2 linked regions of the Pelodiscus sinensis genome follow. The protein of the gene in region 2 binds, or shares a complex with, the protein of the main gene of each other region. Links are inferred from orthologs where the notes say so. Each region holds a gene or a part of one and is shown on either strand. Other genes may lie near its edges. The genes, in order: TBC1D20 and RAB1B.

The links.
Region 1: the proteins of RAB1B (region 2) and TBC1D20 are in contact, whole or in part, in a crystal structure (PDB 4HLQ), measured with the Homo sapiens proteins. The link is inferred for Pelodiscus sinensis from reciprocal best matches to the Homo sapiens genes RAB1B and TBC1D20. Residues at the interface, in NP_112243.1 of Homo sapiens: Ser17, Gly18, Ser36, Tyr37, Ile38, Ser39, Thr40, Ile41, Gly42, Val43, Asp44, Phe45, Gln60, Trp62, Ala65, Gly66, Gln67, Arg69, Phe70, Thr72, Ile73, Tyr77, Glu94; in NP_653229.1 of Homo sapiens: Gln97, Gln98, Leu101, Asp102, Arg104, Arg105, Leu107, Arg108, His141, Tyr142, Tyr143, Gln144, Gly145, His147, Asp148, Phe177, Met178, Asp179, Pro180, Thr181, Met182, Lys186, Val212, Ile215, Leu218, Ser219, Thr223, His227, Met272, Ala273.

The regions. Positions count from the first base shown.
Region 1 is NC_134728.1:2,049,614-2,058,840, forward strand, and holds the start of TBC1D20 (TBC1 domain family member 20), read right to left. Parts: upstream 3,841-9,227; 5' UTR 3,826-3,840; coding exon 3,588-3,825; intron 2,201-3,587; coding exon 2,120-2,200; intron 267-2,119; coding exon 80-266; intron 1-79. UniProt on the Homo sapiens protein: GTPase-activating protein (GAP) specific for Rab1 and Rab2 small GTPase families for which it can accelerate the intrinsic GTP hydrolysis rate by more than five orders of magnitude. Also shows GAP activity for RAB18 GTPase.
Region 2 is NC_134721.1:32,065,880-32,074,655, forward strand, and holds the start of RAB1B (ras-related protein Rab-1B), read right to left. Parts: upstream 3,725-8,776; 5' UTR 3,587-3,724; coding exon 3,573-3,586; intron 1-3,572. UniProt on the Homo sapiens protein: The small GTPases Rab are key regulators of intracellular membrane trafficking, from the formation of transport vesicles to their fusion with membranes.

The sequences.
Region 1 (9,227 bases), on a different chromosome or scaffold from region 2:
TCTGCCACAGGCGGCGACTGACAGCGAAGGCGCAGGCAGCCCCTCGTCCCCTCGCTTTGCAGGAGCCGCGCTGACGTACCTGAGGTGGTGAGTCGAAAGCTTTTCCACGAGAGCCGTCGCCAGCCTCTCCCCCACGACCAGCAGGAACGTGACCACGATGTCGTGGTAGCCCTGGTAGTAGTGCAGCTGCGGGTTGCGCTGTAACACCTGCAGGATGATGTCGATCAGCTCTTCCTGGAGCCCTTCCCTCTGCTCATCTGGCATCCCTGTGGGGACAGCAGCAGATGGGCCTTGCATCAGGCTGAGCCGGAGCCCTGACAAGGTGCCTGCCACGTACTGCATCATCCGCCCACAGGAGCCACGTCTCACCAGCCGTTGGATGCAGACACGCTGCAATCTCCAGGGCCTGACAGCTATCAACTGGCCCTATCTGAGTGTGGCCTGCGCATGGGGCTAGAGACCAGCAACTCGTGGGTTCTCATCCTTGTTCCGGGACCTCCCGCTCCCCAATGGCCTTTGCAGAGTTGCTTAACCTTTTGTGCAGCAGTTTCTCCACCTGCACAATGGGAACATTAATATTCCCTTTGCAAGAAAAAGGGGGTATTTACTAGTGTTCGTAAAGCATCCTGAAGGTTAAATTAAAGATGTTAAATTGCGAGTAACTGACTAAACAAATAGTCAATGCATTTTGCATCAACTATTCAATTAGTCGATAGGGCGTCTGAAGTTGCTGCACTTCAAAGGCAAAAGTGCCACATGGAGCCTGAGGTCAGCTGGGGATTCCCCCGGGCTCCGTGCGGCCCTGCCACTTTGAAACGCCGCGGGGAGCTTGACGTCAAGCTCCTCGTGGCATTTCAAAGTGGTAGCACCCCGTGGAGCCTGGGATCAGCTAGGGACTCCTCCACTGCCACTTTGAAATGCCACATGCCGCCTGGGGACGCTGCCGCTTTCAAGTACCCCCCCCCCCCCCGCTGCCTCCTTCTGAGAGAGGCAGCAAGACAGGGAAAGTGACTAGTCGTTCACATCCCTAGGTTAAATTAATTATTTTTAGTATCCCAGAAGTCCTAAGAAATAAAACAATCCTCTTTTGTGAAAACTCTGTTGAGTGTGCAAAACTCACAGGCGCCACTGTCCTGCCCACCTCTAGACAGGGGTCTGTGTGTGGACAGAATGCATCTGTGGAACAGAACACCACATGTAGAGAAAACAGCACACGCACCCCCTTTGGCCAGGACCTGTATAAGTAGATACGGTGCCCCACGGCGGAACGAGCATCTCGCAAGCCCAAGCAAGGTTCAGACAACACAAAGATCTCTAAGCATTGTCAAAATACGGCCATTCCAGAGCAATAGGGTGCTAGCAGAAGCGTGAGCTGCAGAGATCTGCAGGGTGTCCACAATATACAGATAAGCTGAACGTGCTGACTGTTTATATGGAAGAAAAAAGCAGGCAGTGAAAACCAATTCCTGCCCAGGAGCAACAAGCAGCTGCTCTGCAAAGTCAGACGAGTGCAAAAGGGTCTATAAATAACACCAGGCACCAGCCAACCACAGGAACTAAGCAAATGCAAGAAGCTTTTGTCATTAAATGTTGAGAGTTGTTTTAGGCTGATGCATGAGAGTCACTGGAAAGAACACACTTTAGCAACGCTTAAAAAACAAAATCCATTTAAATCAGTAGCGAACGCAGGTTTCAAACCCAGATGTGTCTCTGCCCAAGGTACACAGAGGCAATGGTAAACCCCTCAAACACCAGACATGACTGTCACATCGAATGAACAGCAGTACATGGCAGGGCTGGCTATATCTGAGTCAGGCCCCTCTAAATACAGGGAGAGTTTTAACGGCAAGAGAGGGGCCAGCAGAATGAATCAGCGAGTTACGGATGAGAATTTTGTGTGGAAAGAACATGCTGAAAACCAGCTGCAGTGCAAGGAGAAGCCTGAGGCCATCTCTGAAGTGGGTGTTGGGCAAACAGAGGGGAAAGGCCTTTCCATTTCGGCGGGCCCCTGGAGGGTTGCTCCTACAGCTCTGCTGTGGCCCTAGAAGAGAGGCTGCACTGCACGGAGCTGGGGGGACAAGGTGCTCCTGGTGGCCACAGAACAGAGAGACCAGCTCACCGGGTGGGAAGCGGCGCAGGGATCGCCTCACGTCCAGCAGCACCTGCTGGTAGTCTTCATTGTCCTCTCGCAGCTCCTTCCCTGATGGAGAAAGAAGCACACTGCAAATCCAAGCAGGCCACCAAGCAGCATCTGCAGTGCCAGAGAAGAACGCTGTACAAGTCAAGGCTGAAACGTAGGCCGCAACTGCTCCTGAACCCAATTTTAGATCCCCGTTTCTACTTGTTACACACAAGCCCAGCGCTCTGCCTTTTACTGCTGTACACTCTGGCGTGGCCAATACCAACGTACGCCGTTCCAGAGCCAGACACCAAGACATTAATCTCTTTGGTACAAATACCGTTTCAAGATCCTTACATCATCTCTCCTTTGTCCTTCGGCTAAGTTCTTGCTCCATCACCATGCCACTGGAGTTAGGCAAAATATAGCTAAGACATGACACAGAGCAGCCGCAACTCACACGTTTAATAAATAGAAACTGAGTGAAATGAAGCATGGGTAGTTAAGATATTTAAAGCACTGTAAGTGGAAAGAAATCATTAGCATGCCATAAGCCATGCAAGCAGCTGCGTGGAGCTGAACATAAATCCCAGGTCTCCTGATCTGCATTTTTACAGCAACCATAGCTATCCAAGGACAACCAGGAATATACACACTTTTGAACAGATACTTCTGCTCACAAAAACCCATCTTATGCTCTGGGAGCAGTGGAAATAAAAAACACCACATATGGAACGCCTCCATTCAGTGTTCCCTCTTTTTTCCATTCCTGCGTGGAATAAATTTTGTTCTGTGCACCAAGGCAGGTGCAACTGTGCACCACCATTAGAAACACATGGTTCGGCTGTGGGCGTTCTGCTAATCAGCTGGGCGGCATCTGAATCTTTCTTGGGTGACTACTCAGGCACTCAGCTTACAGGGAATACAGCCTCCATGTCTGTGTCTCATTAAAAAGCAAGTTTTCCTTCCCTCAGATGTGACTTCTTCTATGTACAAGCTTCAATTTACAGTAATTTGGCCACTGCTTCACCCATGCCTGGGATAGGAACTTCCATTTAGTATTCAAGAAACCACGCTCCCATTTATGACAATGGAAGTTAAACTAGATATATTTGCAACGTGGCATTTTTTTGGTTTAACTAACATGCATTTTGGAAGCTAATCACACCGGATTGCACCAGCTGTGTTCCACACAATGTGGCCTAAAAGTAAAAGGGCTCTTACAGTGCAATGGAAAAATAATAAATTCAGGTAATTCCTGGATCTGCTATTAGCATAATTAAATACGTTAACACAGGTAAAACCACGGGCATCAGTCTGTGCAATTGTGACTCTCAAGCAAGCATCATGGAAAAGGCATCTTCGTTGACAGGAAAAACCCCACAAGTTACAAACAGCAGAACTCCAGCCCCAAGTACGTACAAAGATCTCTCAAGTTGGTCCCAAAGCACAACGGGCGACTCTGTACCTGGCGGAGGCGGCAGATCCTCTGTCTTCACATTGAGAAGATTTGGCCACACTTTGCAACGAATCTCGTCTGTCAGGAGACCCCCTTCGCTGATTGCCATTCGTCTGAGTGCAGCCACATCAATAGGGTCGCTGTTCAGGGCCTGATAAATCTCCGCTACTTTCCTTTGCTTCTTAGAATTATAGTCTGCAAGAGGCACACCACCCAAAGGGTTAGGCTTCCAGCTACTGGCCAGCATGCAAAAGGAAGGCACAGACTGACTTAGCTCACAATGCAAAGACTATATAAGACAACTGATTGAACACACACATTGGGTCACTCTGTCTAGAGATGGGAGAGGCCTAAGAGATGATTCACTCTGTTTCTTCAGGGCCAGATTATATAGAACCCATCATCAATGGATACCAAAGCATCTTGACCAATGGCCAGGCAGAACAGAGGCACTTTCACTGCGCCTCCTCCCTTCTACCAGCTCTGAAGTTCCTTCCCAGCCCCCTGCGAGATCTCTCTGCTTGCATCTGCAGAACTGTAGTGCCTATTGCAATCGCTAATGCTACCAGGACTTTCTTGTCCTTCAATTCAAACATGGTGTCAACAGAACTGCCACTGCACCGGATGCAGTAGTTACTATTCAAAGTCACTTACAACTGTTTGCCTTCATGGCCTGGATGGCTCAGCTTCCAGCTGAGAGGTCAAAAGTTTTACAAGACTGGGGCGCAGTCTGTGTTCCTACTGGCTGGCAACTAGACTCTAGTATTGTTCGGTTGAGCTTGCCCCACCAAATCGGTACCTAGAAATACCACCTAACTGAAAATTTCCCCATGCTGCCCTATGCACTCAGGGGACCTTATTTACATTAGAATTATACTCCATTTTCATACAGATCATAGCCGCCCCCCCCTCCCCCCCCCCCCGTGTTGCTAGGACTGGTCAAATTAATATTTGTAAAGTGAAATGTCAGGGCTAAGCACTATCCAGCAAATACACAATGATGCCTTCGTAAGACATTTGATCTTTAAGGACACGAGGCGGGGAAAAGGACGACACATAACGCATGGACTGAACAGATACAGGATACAGAAATCTTTCCTTAGAGCAGATTCCAGCACAGCCATATTTTCAGTGGGTTCCTTGCCAGCACTATTCTATATTTGGGAAAAGGCAGGCAGCTGAGAATCAGCTGATTTCCATACACTTTGGCAGCAAAATCCTTCTGTATGTGTGAAGGTTTTGTTTGAGATCCAGCCTGCCTTCAGAAACTTTTCCAACAGGATCCTGTTTTTGCAGCTTCAGTCAAAACCCCTCTCACAATCCATTATAAGGCCCTTTTGATTTGAACTGTATTCAATTCATATTAAGTCAGTCAGGATGGGATTTTTTTTATGGGGGGAGGGGGATCTGAAACTGGCCTAATGGAGAAATCTGTTCATTTTCCTACCGTGATTTCACTGACTGAAGTTTACAGTAGCCCATTGAACATTTGACACCAGAGGTGTTTCCTGCCCCCTGCTCATGCACACTTGTTTGCTACTGGAGAGCTACTCCAGAGTGCTCAGTTTAGCACATTATGTTCTGAAGTCTCTGAAGGAGAGAAATGAGCATGACAGGATTTTCAAACACCTGCAAACAAGCAAGGAGGTCAAGTTGTGGATGGGACCCATCTAAACAGCCCCCCTTTCAAAACTCACTTTTTTGTATAGCTTGTTTTTCAACCAAGTTCTGTTTAGTTTTTGACAGGACTGCAGCTCCCTTATAAGAAACAAGTCTCCTGATGTCAATAGGCAGAGAAAGTTATCAAAACCACACCCAGCAGTTCTAGTATCCATGTATTTCCTTCTTTTGGCCGCACAACCAAGAAGTTACCTTTTTTCTACTCAGTTACTGCCTAACGCTTGAATGTCAGCACAAACATGGGATTGGCACCCAGTGAATGAATCAAGGAAGAGGAGGAGAGAAAGCTTACAAAAGAGAAAGCTCCTGTTTTATACTAAAAGAATTTAAGCAGCAACACCAAGGAAAGAAAATATGTGCTGCACTGGCCTCCCCCACATTCAATTATTTTTAACTTTTACCAGCATGAACATCAAGAACCGTTGTGTGGGGGTGGAAAGAATGCATGTTGTCAAACATGTTTTTGATCCACCACCAACTTCTACTCAAGTCCCCAGCAAGTATCAATCACCAACACCCTCTTCGAGAGAAACGTGCAGCCACAGGGATGAGATGGGTTTTATTATACAAGTAATTCCTGGTCCTCCATAAAAATAAGGCTCAGCTGGCTAGTGGATTTTGTTTTATGTCCAGGACTAAAGAGCCTGGGACAGATGCTCTCTTTCCAACAGCTAAATAAAGACATAAAACAAAGATGCAGATGATCACCAAGGCTGCTGAAGGCCTACATAGAGAGGGTCACATGTTCCAGTTTCTGATTTCAGCAATTATGCTGCAGAACTCTACATTTCAATGGTACGAGGAAAGAGACGGCACTGGCTCCCCAGTGATAATATTGAACGTGTAAGTAACACTTTGTAAAGACTGCAGCCCTCCTATGAAGGCAGCAAATATTCTCTCATTTTACAGATGAGAAAACTGAGGCTCAAAGACTTCTAAAGGAACTGTCCCATGCCCTACCGAGAACAGAGCTTCCAGACCCACATTCAAACCAGTCGCTGAGCCCGCAGATCCCAGGCAATGGAAGAAGAATTACGTTCCGCTTGTCAAGACACAAAACTAAGCCTTCCCTCTTTGACTTGCTTTTCTGCTAAACACTCATTGGGAGGACTCAGGCGCTTTAAGATAAGCATGGGCACAGCAGCAAGACTGGGCCAACGGCACTGCTATGACGCGAAAGGTGCATTTTTTGTGTTTCAGAAGCACACGAGAGCGGGGCCCTATGGTGGTAGGGGGTGGACAAACACATGAGCCCCAGAGTCTGGCTGGAGGTAAATGGAAGGCAGCCGACAGCAGGAAGGGAAGAAGAGGGGTGACTGGAGGAAGGCAGCAGCTCTGCTACTACCTATTGGCAGAGTGCGATTTGCTTTCTAAAAACGCTTTGGAAGGCCACTGACCCTTTCCCGGGATCATCACAGTCCGGCCCTGCGCCCCCAGGATCTGCGCCTAGTTCTGGGACCAACAGGCACGACCCCTGGGGGTACCCCCAGCGCGGCCTGTCAGCTGGGGTGGCTGCCCACGAGAGTCAAACGCCGCCCCTCGGATCAACAGAGCGCCCGCAGCCTCCCTCCCGGGGGTGCACCGCCGCGCGGGCCCCGGTGCACCGCACAAAATTTATTCCGCACAGGGATGGGAACAGGTTCGAGGGATCCACCCCCCCGCAGCGGGTCACGAAGCCCCGCCCCCGCCGCAGCGCCAGGGCACCCGGAGCCCCGCCCCCCGGGCGTTAACACCGCCCCCCCCCCCGCCAGAAACCGCCGCAACGCTCGAGGGGCCCCGGCGGGGGGCGGGGCTGGCGGCTCGGGGCCCGGGTCCCCCCCCCGCTGGGCCCGGCCCGTACCGTGCGGCGGCGCCGGCCTGCGCAGGGACATGGTCTCCGGGAGCCGCGGCGCATCCCGGCCGGGCGGGGCCCGGCTCCGCTTCCTGCCCCGAGCTCCGCCCCGCCTCCGCGCGCGCGCCCTACGTCCTACGTCACCGCGGCGAGCAGAACGAAGCCATTTTGCGCGTGCGCCTCGGGCTGACACCGCCTCCGGGCTGGGGGGGGCGGGGAAGAGAAGGCAGATGCGCGCGCCGCTCCTCCAGCCCGGGACCCGCCCCTCCCCTGCAATGCTCCTGCCGCCGCGCAGCGCCGGCTCCAGCTTGAAACGGCGCGTGCCGGGCGGGGGAGGAGCACGCGCCGGCCAGCTCCAGCCCGCACGTGCATGGCCCTGGCCGCAGCCAGCGCTGCTTTCTGCATCCCTGCAGGGCTAGCGGACGGCGGGGAGACCCTCCCCCCCCCAGCTTGCACCGGGGGGGGGGGGGGGGCAGAAGGGGTGACAGAGACAGAGCTTTGCCCAGCTGGTGCCAGACTTAGACTAGCCCAAACTAGCACCTGCAGCCACAGCGGGGAGGGGGTGCGCGCATGTGGACAGAAAGCAAATGTTCTGCAGGCTGCGCGGGGCAGAGCAAGCTCGACTAGCAGAGTTTCAGGAGACAGACATGAAGGGCAGCTCACAGGCCTTTGGAAAACAGATTTTTTAACACTGGCCAGACACGTGGGCTGTGTCTACACTGGCATGAATTTCTAGAACTGCTTAAAACGGAATACTATTCCGTTTTCAGTTTTTCCGGAAAAGGAGCGTCTACATTGGCAGGCTGCTTTTCCGGAAAAGCCCTTTTCCTGGAAAAGCGTCTGTGGCCAACGTAGATGCGCTTTTCCGGAAAAAAGCCCCGATTGTCATTTTCGCGATCGGGGCTTTTTTCCAGAAAAGACTACTGGGCTGTCCACACAGGCCCTTTTCCGGAACAGTGTTCCGGAATAAGGACTTATGCCCGAGCAGGAGCAGAATAGTTTTTCCGGAATAGCGGCTGATTTTGTACAGTAGAGCGTCGTTACTTTTCCAGAAATTCAAGGGCCAGTGTAGACAGCTCGCAGCTTATTCCGGAAAAGCGGCTGATTTTCTGGAATAACTGGCCCAGTGTAGACACAGTCGTGGAGAAACTGATCTCAAAGCCAGGAAGATGATATCCATAATCAGAGGAAGACTCAACTAGTTTGTTCTGGGAAACAAGGCTGTTTTCTAGTAGGAGTAGGTAGATGACAGACCTCAAGCTACTGTTATCAATTTCCAGGTTGAATTATGTAAAGCAGGCACTGAAGGACCCAGCCCTGAAACAGGGAGCTTCCTGCCTTGAGCAGGGGGCTGGACTTGATGGCCTTCTGAGGTCTCTTTCAGTTCTATGAATTAGTGCTCACATTCACCTTACATTCTTTACAGCAATACTTAATGTGAACAAAAATCCAGAAGAGGAAAAATATGCTTATGATTTGTTAGAGCACATGTTAACCAAGGCCTCCCCCTCCCCCCCCCACTGTGTGTATCTATGGCTAATTCTAACAGAAGTTGCATGTAGCAAGGAGGGTTTAGCTTAAAGTAGTGGGGGAGTATAGTAGCAGTGTAGAAATGAAAAGAAGAACAATTAGATGTTCATATTATGACAGGCGGAATAATATTCTCTCAAATTCAGTGACAACTCCTCCACAGGTTCTATGAAGGATCAGATAGATCACACCTATATTTCAAAGTTTAGTTTGTTGGCAGACATACGTACACGTGTACAGAGGAGCTGATGCAGGCAGCGACCATAACCTTGGTATCATTAAACAAGTTCAAGAGGATGAAAAGGGTAGAAGACTGTACATACACTATTAAAAGAGCAATTCATTTGAGTTTGCTGAAACCAGTCTTCTTTCAGTTCATTCTAGTAGTCAACTGAAGAAAATCAAGACAGATGCTCTGCAGGAAGACATCAGAGTGTACTATTTAGAAACTGCAATGTGAATCCTAACAGCAACAACATCTAAAAAGGAAAAATGGATTAGCAATATGACTGGGGCAACAATGGAAAAACAGCATAAACAAAAACTCTTGCTTGTTATTAAGACAGATAAGCATGGGGATGAAGACAGAGCTCCAGCCAGAGAGGTAA
Region 2 (8,776 bases):
GCAGGCACGAGCACTGTCACCACTGCACTGGAAAGAGTCAGAGGTCCCTAGTGCTTGTGACCCAAGAACTCTACTCAGAAGGTGCCACTAAGATACAGCTGTTGCTGATACAGGGACCAGTTGCCCAGCACTGACATACAGCTTGCCTGGGAGGGTGGGTCACAGGTTTACACTTGTACCCCTCTCCTAGTGCTGAGCTGTAGCTTCCCTTAAGGCAAGGGAAGGTAATGGACGCTCTTACAGAAGAGTTCCCCAGGATGTTCAAACCCCATGGCAGGCCTGTATGGGCACTGAGCAAAGAGGCCAAGGCATAGCCAATGTTGTAGTTTCACAGCAGGATGCCAGGCTTTGAGCACTAAGTCCAGCCACAGGGTGTGTAACAAATCTCCATCACCACCAGTTTGATGCTGCTGCAAGACGAACAAACCTTTCCATGATTACCAGATATATGCACGCTGCCTTTCAAGTGCTGCTGCTTCAAGTTGCCCTAGAATCTTTTGCACCATCCCCCGATACTTCCAAGGATTCATGTGGGATTAGTACAATCAATCATCAGGCATTTGATTGCTTCTGGCATAGGAGGGCTTGATGTAACAATCAACAGGCCAATGTAGCTCACCATGCCAGCTGCATCATCCCTCACTGGCCCAACTAGCCTGGGCACACAAGCAAGTTAAACTGACAGTAGGCAATGCACACACACCCCATTTCCTGAGTGTGTTTTGCTAGTGGCAAGAGGACAGGAAGCCCTGACTCATGCTAACTCCTGTCACTTTCCCTTTGATTCAACATGCATAGATAGAGGTTTTGGGATGGTCCCAACCTGACTTCAATGGGGGAGCACGACTAGTTAGCCAAGAAAATGCACCCCTACAGGTCAAAAATTCAGCAAACAAATGCTGGTTCAGTTTGAGACTGCCCAAACCCCACCCACTATTTCTGGAGTTTCCATACTCCTGGTGCCTTTCACACAATAGCCTCAGGGGTGGGGAACTATTTTTAGGTCAGGAGCTGCTGACCCACAGAAAAAGAGTCAGTCAGGGGCTGCACACAAATGAAAAGTAACACACCAAAACCCTCACTGAAGCAGCCCCTGATTGAGAAGAATAAAGACATTCTCCACATTCACCTCACACACCAGAACCTGGGGGGGAGGAAGGGAGGGAGCACTACACTAGTAGACTCTGTGCTCCAGCCCCATGTAGGGATAGCTGGGGGGGGGGGGGGTGGCACAAGGGGAGGAGCTGGCACACCAATGCTGACTCCCCAGTGCTGGGGAGGAGCCCTGAGCCTCAGGGGCTGGATCCAGGCAAGCCAGGGGCCATATCGGGCCCCTATGTTGCCCTTCCCTGCCATAGCCATCTTCATGCATTTCAGACACTTCACCCACACCTGTAAAGCAGCCACTTCTGGGGTGGGAAATAGCAACTGTTAAACAGCCAACAAAGCTACTAGCAAGAGCACAATCCTGTATCCATTTGAAACTGCAGAGAGAGGGGTCTTACGGTAACAAAATAGAATGGCCCAAGAATGGCTGAGAAGAAAAAGGGCATTGGGCTCCATGAGATCAGATTCTTATTTGAAAGGCAGAATCACAGGAACCAGAGTGCCAGATCTTGGCTCTGACAAGCTGCTATGAAAAGTTTGAGGGCAGCTGCATTCAGAAAGGCAGCCAGCACACTTGAGAAGTAGGGGAAGGATCTGGTGTGCCCCAACAATTCAATAGGGAGTTCTGCCAGTCTGATGGACATTTTCTTTCCCAGAAAGCTCCTCTCACTCACAAAGCCACCTGCCATTAGTACTAAACGGCTGCTCAGAGAGGCCACACTCCTAGCTTAATCTGATCAGGGCCAGACCCCCAGAGCCATCTGAGTTGCTATTGCTTTCACCGCCTTCCTCCAGCAAGCAAGCAATTTGGACAAGGCCTTCTGCCCAGGTCTCCCAACAGCTAGCAAGAATCAGCTTCCCTATGTGCCCACTTTGATGTGGCTCCAAAAAGGCCATTCCTGAGCTCTCTCAAGGGCCCCAGAACGACAGTCACAAACAAGTTCTGGAAGCAGTCAGAGCACTTCCCACTTCAGTCAGTGCAGGTCAGTCTAGTGCAGGGCTACTCAACTTTGGAAGCGGGGGGTGGGGGACGACGACGACAATGCCTCAAAGCACATGCTGAGGGCTGCAACTTAAGTGTGGTTGTATATACACACACACGTAAATATATGCAAACAGCTTCGTTCACACTGACGGGCATGAGTACAAGACACTTTTCACAATGCCCTGGGGCTCACAGCACCTCCTCTCTGGAGGCTAGAAATGCCGACACCCTGTACCCATCTGTTCCAACCAGCCTGTCCAGTTGCGTCTTTCAGTGCTCACCCCAACTGGGAGATGCCCCACTGTTGGGAAGTGTGTTCTCAGTAGAGGCCATGTTCAAAGGATCCCACCCACAAGCCACATGTTGAGCCCCACGTAAACCAAAACCACACCGTGGGCCTCAAGCAAATAGGACACGTGTTCAGTAGCCCTGGTCTAGTAGGAAGGGCATTCCACATCCCTTGCAGTGGAAGCAGCAGTGGAGGATTTAAAGCAGGCCTGTGAATCACAAACTGGACTCTTCCCCTCTACTACTGAGAAGCAGCTATGATAATTAGCAGTGGGTCCCTTTCATTAAAACAAGATGCTGTGGTGTATAGCCATCACCACAGAGAGGAAGGTTCAAGTCCAAAAGCATTGCATCGAAATGCAACAGTTTGTAAGGGCACCCCCCTGTGGTGGAAAGCCCACCCCCCGAAACACATGGGGTGAAGCCCCCCAGGTTACAGGAGGGCAATGGGCAAATGCAACCCTCTGCCAAGGCCTGAATGGGCGCAGACACATCAGCCCTTGAGAGAAAGGCTGGCGCCGTTGATTAGGCCACCAACCTAGACACGGGGCACCCAGCTCAGAGACTCCCTGTCCATGGGCCAGTGGCTCGGGTCTCATTTACACACGTAGCCCCGCTCTGCTGCCCCCAGCCTGGTTGCCGCTGGAGCGCGCCTGCTACCCCGGGCCGCAAGGAGGGCGGGTGGCGAGCGTGTTCTCGGAGTAACCCTGCCCACCCTGGGACAGAACCCCCCCCCCCCCCGCCACCCTGGGACAGAACCCCCCCCCCCCGCCACCCTGGGACAGAACCACCCACCCCCAGGCCTTTGTGACGCGCCGCGACCACGGGCCCGATCCCCCCCCGACCGCCTCTCGGCAGGCGCTGGGGCAGACGGAGCCACCCCGCAGGGAGCTGCGCTTCCCGGGGCCGCTCTCCCCTGGAGCGGTCTCCCCCGCCCCCACCCGGCGCTGGGGGGCCGAGAGGGGAACTGACGGGCCCGTGACGGGGCAGCTCCAGGGCGGGCCGGGCAGAGGAGGCGGGGGTCCCGGCCGGGGGGCGCCCCGCAGGCACGGAAGGGCAGCAGGGGCGGGGCCACGGGGATGTGAGGGCGGGCGGCTCCGGGGTCCTAGCCGGGGTGAGGGAAGCTGCCGCGAGGGGCTTCAGCCCGCCTGAGGCACGGGGGTCCCGGTCCCGCCCCTGCCCTCGCACTCACTACTCGGGGTTCATGGCGGCGCCCCCGCGATGGTTTCGGCTCCTCCTCACTCACAAGATGGCGGCGGCCTGCGGCTTCCCCCCTTTCGGTCCTTCCCCCTCCCCTCTAAGGGGTGGCTCTACCAATGCGCAAGTGCGGAGTACAGCCCCCCGGCACCATGGGATATGTAGTATCTCCGCTTGCGCTTGGCCACGCCCCTTTCCTCCGCAGCTGAACTCATGACCTCATCAAAGGCGTGGTTTCTCGTGCCCAGGCTTCACGCGCGCTACGTCCAGATGCTCCGCCCTTTGCGTCAGGCACGCAATCCCTGACGGGATATGTAGTTTTTTTGCCGGACGCTCAGTGTCTCTTTCACTTAAGCCTACAGCCGCAAAAGCCCCTGGGCCCTGTAGTTTCTTCACCAGATCAAGCTAACTTCAGAACCCATGAGCTACAGAGCACCAGGGTTGGGACCAGGACTTTTGGGTTCTAGCCCCAGCTCTGGGAGGGGAGAGGGTCTAGCGGTTATAACCAGGAATTAGGACTCTAGAGGTGCACAAGTAAACCACTGGTTGCATGGGTCACCGTTACCTTTAGCCTGTGTTGCATTTGCCTCTAAAGCTAATTTCAGTGAAACACATTCTTGTGCTTGCATCACGGGACAGGGGAAAGTGACACTCCCAATCCATCTTTCAAATGCCCCGTTCTTAGGGTTATGTGCAACCCAGTGCTACAGAACAGGACCTGCATTTAGTACAGTCGTGGGCAATAATTTTGACCGGGGGGGGGGCACTTAAGGAAATTTTGGTATATGGTCACGGCCATGCTCCACACCTGGAAGAGATGGGGCTTGGGCGGAAGGGGTGGGGCTGGGGAATCCTAGAACTCTAGAACTGTAAGGGACCTCGAGAGGTAATTGAGTCCAGTCCTCTGGCCTCACAGCAGGACCCGTACCATCTAGACCATCCCTGAGAGATGTCTATCTAACCTGCTCTTAAATATCTCCAGAGATGGAGATTTCATAACCTCCCTAGGCAATTTATTCCAGTGTTTAACCACCCTGACAGGAAGTTTTTCCTAATGTCCAACCTAAACCTCCCTTGCTGCAGTTTAAACCCATTGCTTCTTGTCCTGTCCTCAGAGGCTAAGAGAACAATTTTTCTCCCTCCTCCTTGTGACACCTTTTTAGATACCTGAAAACCGCTATCATGTCCCCTCTCAGTCTTCTCCTTTCCTAACTAAACAAGCCCAATTCTTTCAGTCTTCCTTCATAGCTCATGTTCTTTAGCTCTTTAATCATTCTTGTTGCTCTTCTCTGGACCTCCAATTTCTCCACATCTTTCCTGAAATGTGGTGCCCATTGCTCAGTGAGGAGAGAGAAACAGTAACAGGAAACTTGGAAATGGCAGAGGTGCTTAATGACGTCTTTGTTTCGGTATTCACCAAGAAGTCTGATGATGAAGGAATGTCTAACATAGTGAATACTAGGGGAATGGGGTAGGTTTAGAAGATTAAAAAAAAACAAGTTAAAAATCACTTAGAAAAGTGAGATGTCTTCAAGTCACCAGGGCCTGATGAAATGGAGCTCATAGAGGAGGTATCTGAGTCCTTAGCTATCATCTTTGAAAAATCATGGAAGACTGGAAAAGGGCAAATTAGTGCCCTTCTATAAAAAGGGAAATAAGAACAACCCAGGAAACTATAGACCAGTCAGCTTAACTTCTGTGCCAGGGAAGATATTGGAGCAAGTAATTAAGGAATTCATCTGCAAACACCTGAAAGATAATAAAGTGATAGGTAACAGCCAGCATGGATTTGTAAAGAACAAATCATGTCAAACCAATCTGATAGTTTTCTTTGGTAGGATAACGAGTTTTGTGGATAAGGGACAAGCGGTGGACGTGGTATACCTAAACTTTAGCAAGGCATTTGATACAGTATCGCATGATCTTATCAGTAAACTAGGCAAATACAACTTAGTTGGGGCTAGTATAAGGTGGGTGCATAACTGGCTGGATAACCATTCTTAGAGAGTAGTTATTAACGGTACACAATCCTGCTGGAAAAACAAGTGGGGCTTCACAGAGGTCTGTTTTGGACCGGTTCTGTTCAATATCTTCATCGACGATTTAGGTATTGGCATAGAGAGTATGCTTATTAAGTTTGCAGATGATACGAAGCGGGGAGGGGTTGCAACTAAGGATGTTAAATATCAGTTAATTCACTAGTCAAGTAGTAAATTCACTAGTCAATAGGCACTTCCGCATTCCTCCTTTGAAATGAGGAATGCAGAACTTTGCGTGCAGCCCGGGTCCAGCAGGAAGTCCTGCTAATTCTGGGCTGAACGTGGGCATGCCAGCTTTGAAATGTACAAGAGTCCCCAGGATGGGACTCAGAGTCCCCCACTGATTCCAGGCTCCATAAGGGTGCTTCCACTTTGAAATGCCACGTAGAGACCAGAGTCACCTGGGGAGTCCCCAGCTGACCGCAGGCACCATACAGCAGCTGCCACTTTGAAACACTGAGGTGGCGTTTCAAAGGGGCAGCACCACATTGCTGAGCAGGGGGTCAGCTGTGAGGCACCGCCACTTTGAAATACTCCCTCTTTCCCCTCACTTTGCTGCCTCTGATAGAAGCAGCAAGTGGGGGGCGGAATCGACTAGTCAACTAGTCATTAACATCCTTAGTTGCAACTGCTTTGGAGGCTAGGGTCATAATTCAAAATGATCTTGAGAAACTGGAGAAATGGCCTGAGGTAAATAGGATGAAGTTTAATAAGGACAAATACAAAGTACTCCACTTAGGAAGGAAAAATCTGTGTCACGCATACAGAATGGGAAGTGACTGTCTAGGAAGGAGTACTGCAGAAAGGGATCTAGGGGTTATAGTGGACTACAAGATAAATATGAGTCAACAGTGTGACGCTGTTGCAAAAAAAGCAAACGTGATTCTGGGATGCAATAACAAGGAGTGTTGTGAGCAAGACATGAGAAGTCATTCTTCCGCTCTACTCTGCGTTGATTAGGCCTTTCTAATCTTGCCCCTGCATTCCTGTATTCTTTGCTTATATTCATCCTTTGTAATTTGTCTTAGTTCCCACTTTTTATACAACACCTTTTTGATGTTTAGATCATTCAAGATCCCCTGGTGAAGCCAAGGCGGTCTTTTGCCTGACTGGCCTCCTCCCAGAACTGTCTGGGGCCAGAAACTTTGAATTAAAATTACAGCAAAGTGCTTGTAGCTCCTGCCCCGCCACTACTACGTTGCCTGGTAGATGCCTGGGGTTGCTGCGGCTATTTAAAAGGTTCGCAGCTCCAGCCTCTGCCAGGGTAGCACTGCCACCTGGAGCAGGGAACCATTTAAATAGGATCCTGCTGCCTGAGCCTCTACATGGAAATTCAGTGGCACAGGCAACAGGATATAAATAGAGAGCAGCCAGATGCAGTTCGGGGGCCGGATCAAAGCGTTAGGCGGGCTGGATCAGGCCCCGGGGCTACATCTTGCCCTGCCCTGATCTAGAACTTAATTATGAGGCTGGCTGCAGAAATGATGGGGAGCAGTGCCCGCTGGCTTGGGTGATAGATTTTGTCTGTTCATCTATAATCCTCGGGGATCTCATGCAGCCCCCCATGTGGACAGCGTTTTAGATGCTCAAGAGCACCATACTCTATGCAATAAATACCCCTGACACATATAGTTGTCCCACTAGAAGGGTCCATCGGGCACATCCAGAGCAGGGGTATAGAAGAAAGAGTCTGTCCAGATACTGTTGGGAGCAGGACAGGAACACTGGCTGCAGGGGCAGCTCACAATTGCCCCATCCCTGGCCTCTTCTAGCAGATGACACTATCAGGACAAGCAAAGGAGCACTAGCTACGCGGGGAGCTCCTCCCTGACCATTCCACAGCCTGCTTCTCCCAGTGAGGAGCACTCACAGCATGGGGGAAGCTCTGGGCTACTCCACTCTAGGATACTCCTGCAGGAAACACTCGGGGTAGGGGGAGCTGGCTGAGGAGCTCCCAGCTTCTCCTAGCAGTGAGTGCTATAGGGTATGAAGTAGGAACTGTGGGGCCTGACCCACAGGGTGAGGGGACTTCTGGCTACTCCAGCCCTGGCCGTCCATGTGGGGGCATCATAAAGAACATAGCAAGGAATAGCAGAGTTCCAGGCTGGCACCCATGATATTTCATAGAATACAGAGAAGGAGCCAAAATACAACATATTCCTGTTGAACGACTGAACCACAATGCTATATTATTTCTGAGAAATCACAATACAAACATAGCAACCCAGCTAGCGAGAGAGAAAGCCCCTTGCTCTCTAAAAATCAGAATGGTCCAGCTCACCTCACTTTGCCGTAGGCTGACTGGTTGCAAACCAACTCTGCTGAAATGCATGTAGGCTTTACTGCAGAGCCCTCTAGCCTGCAAGCAGAACCAGGAACCCGTGTTCAGCCTCCCAAGCGATAGCATGCTGCTGCAATTCCAGCACGGTTCTCAATGCACCACCGCTGTGCTCTCACGCTGGGGCTACTGTCCTGGGAATCCCATTGCTGGGCTCTCCCCTACCCAAGTCATGGATACGTTCTCCCGGGGCCTGCCTGAGCAGGGGCACCTCTCCTGAATAGTCTGACGCCTCTGCGGGATGGGGGAGGCTACTGGGTCCTCCCCCCAAAGTTTAGAGGAGAGGGTCAGCCAGGCTCTTTGGAGGGTTAGGGACAGGGAGGAAGGAAAGCTTCCAAGACCATTACAAGGACTGAGGGCACACGGGTGGGACTACTCCAGTCCATCAGCATATCCAGCAGCTCTGATTTGCTGCCCTTCCCCAGGCAGCCAGAAAAGGTAGCCAATCAGAGGGAGCTTCACAACAGCATGGGTTGGAGTGACAGTAACGGAGAGACAACAGGGGACAGGGACATGAGAAATGAATAGAAGTATCTATATTTGGGGTGGGGACAGGCATTGTCCATATGCAAATGTATCCAAATTGCTGGCAGGGGCGCACCAGGTGGTGCTTTTCCTCCAGCCCCAGCTCCCAGAGCCCTGGGCCAATGGGCTAATCACAGCCCATCTTTCTGTGCTGGCAGTGGAGAGATGCTGGGAAGAGACGCCCTCGGTATGGTCCCATAGGTGCTAGTTCTCAGAGATCACGGTGGCCTCAGCTGAACTCCTGCTGTGCAGCCTGGCTCATGGTGGCGCAGCGCTGCAGCCAGCGGGCTGCTCCCA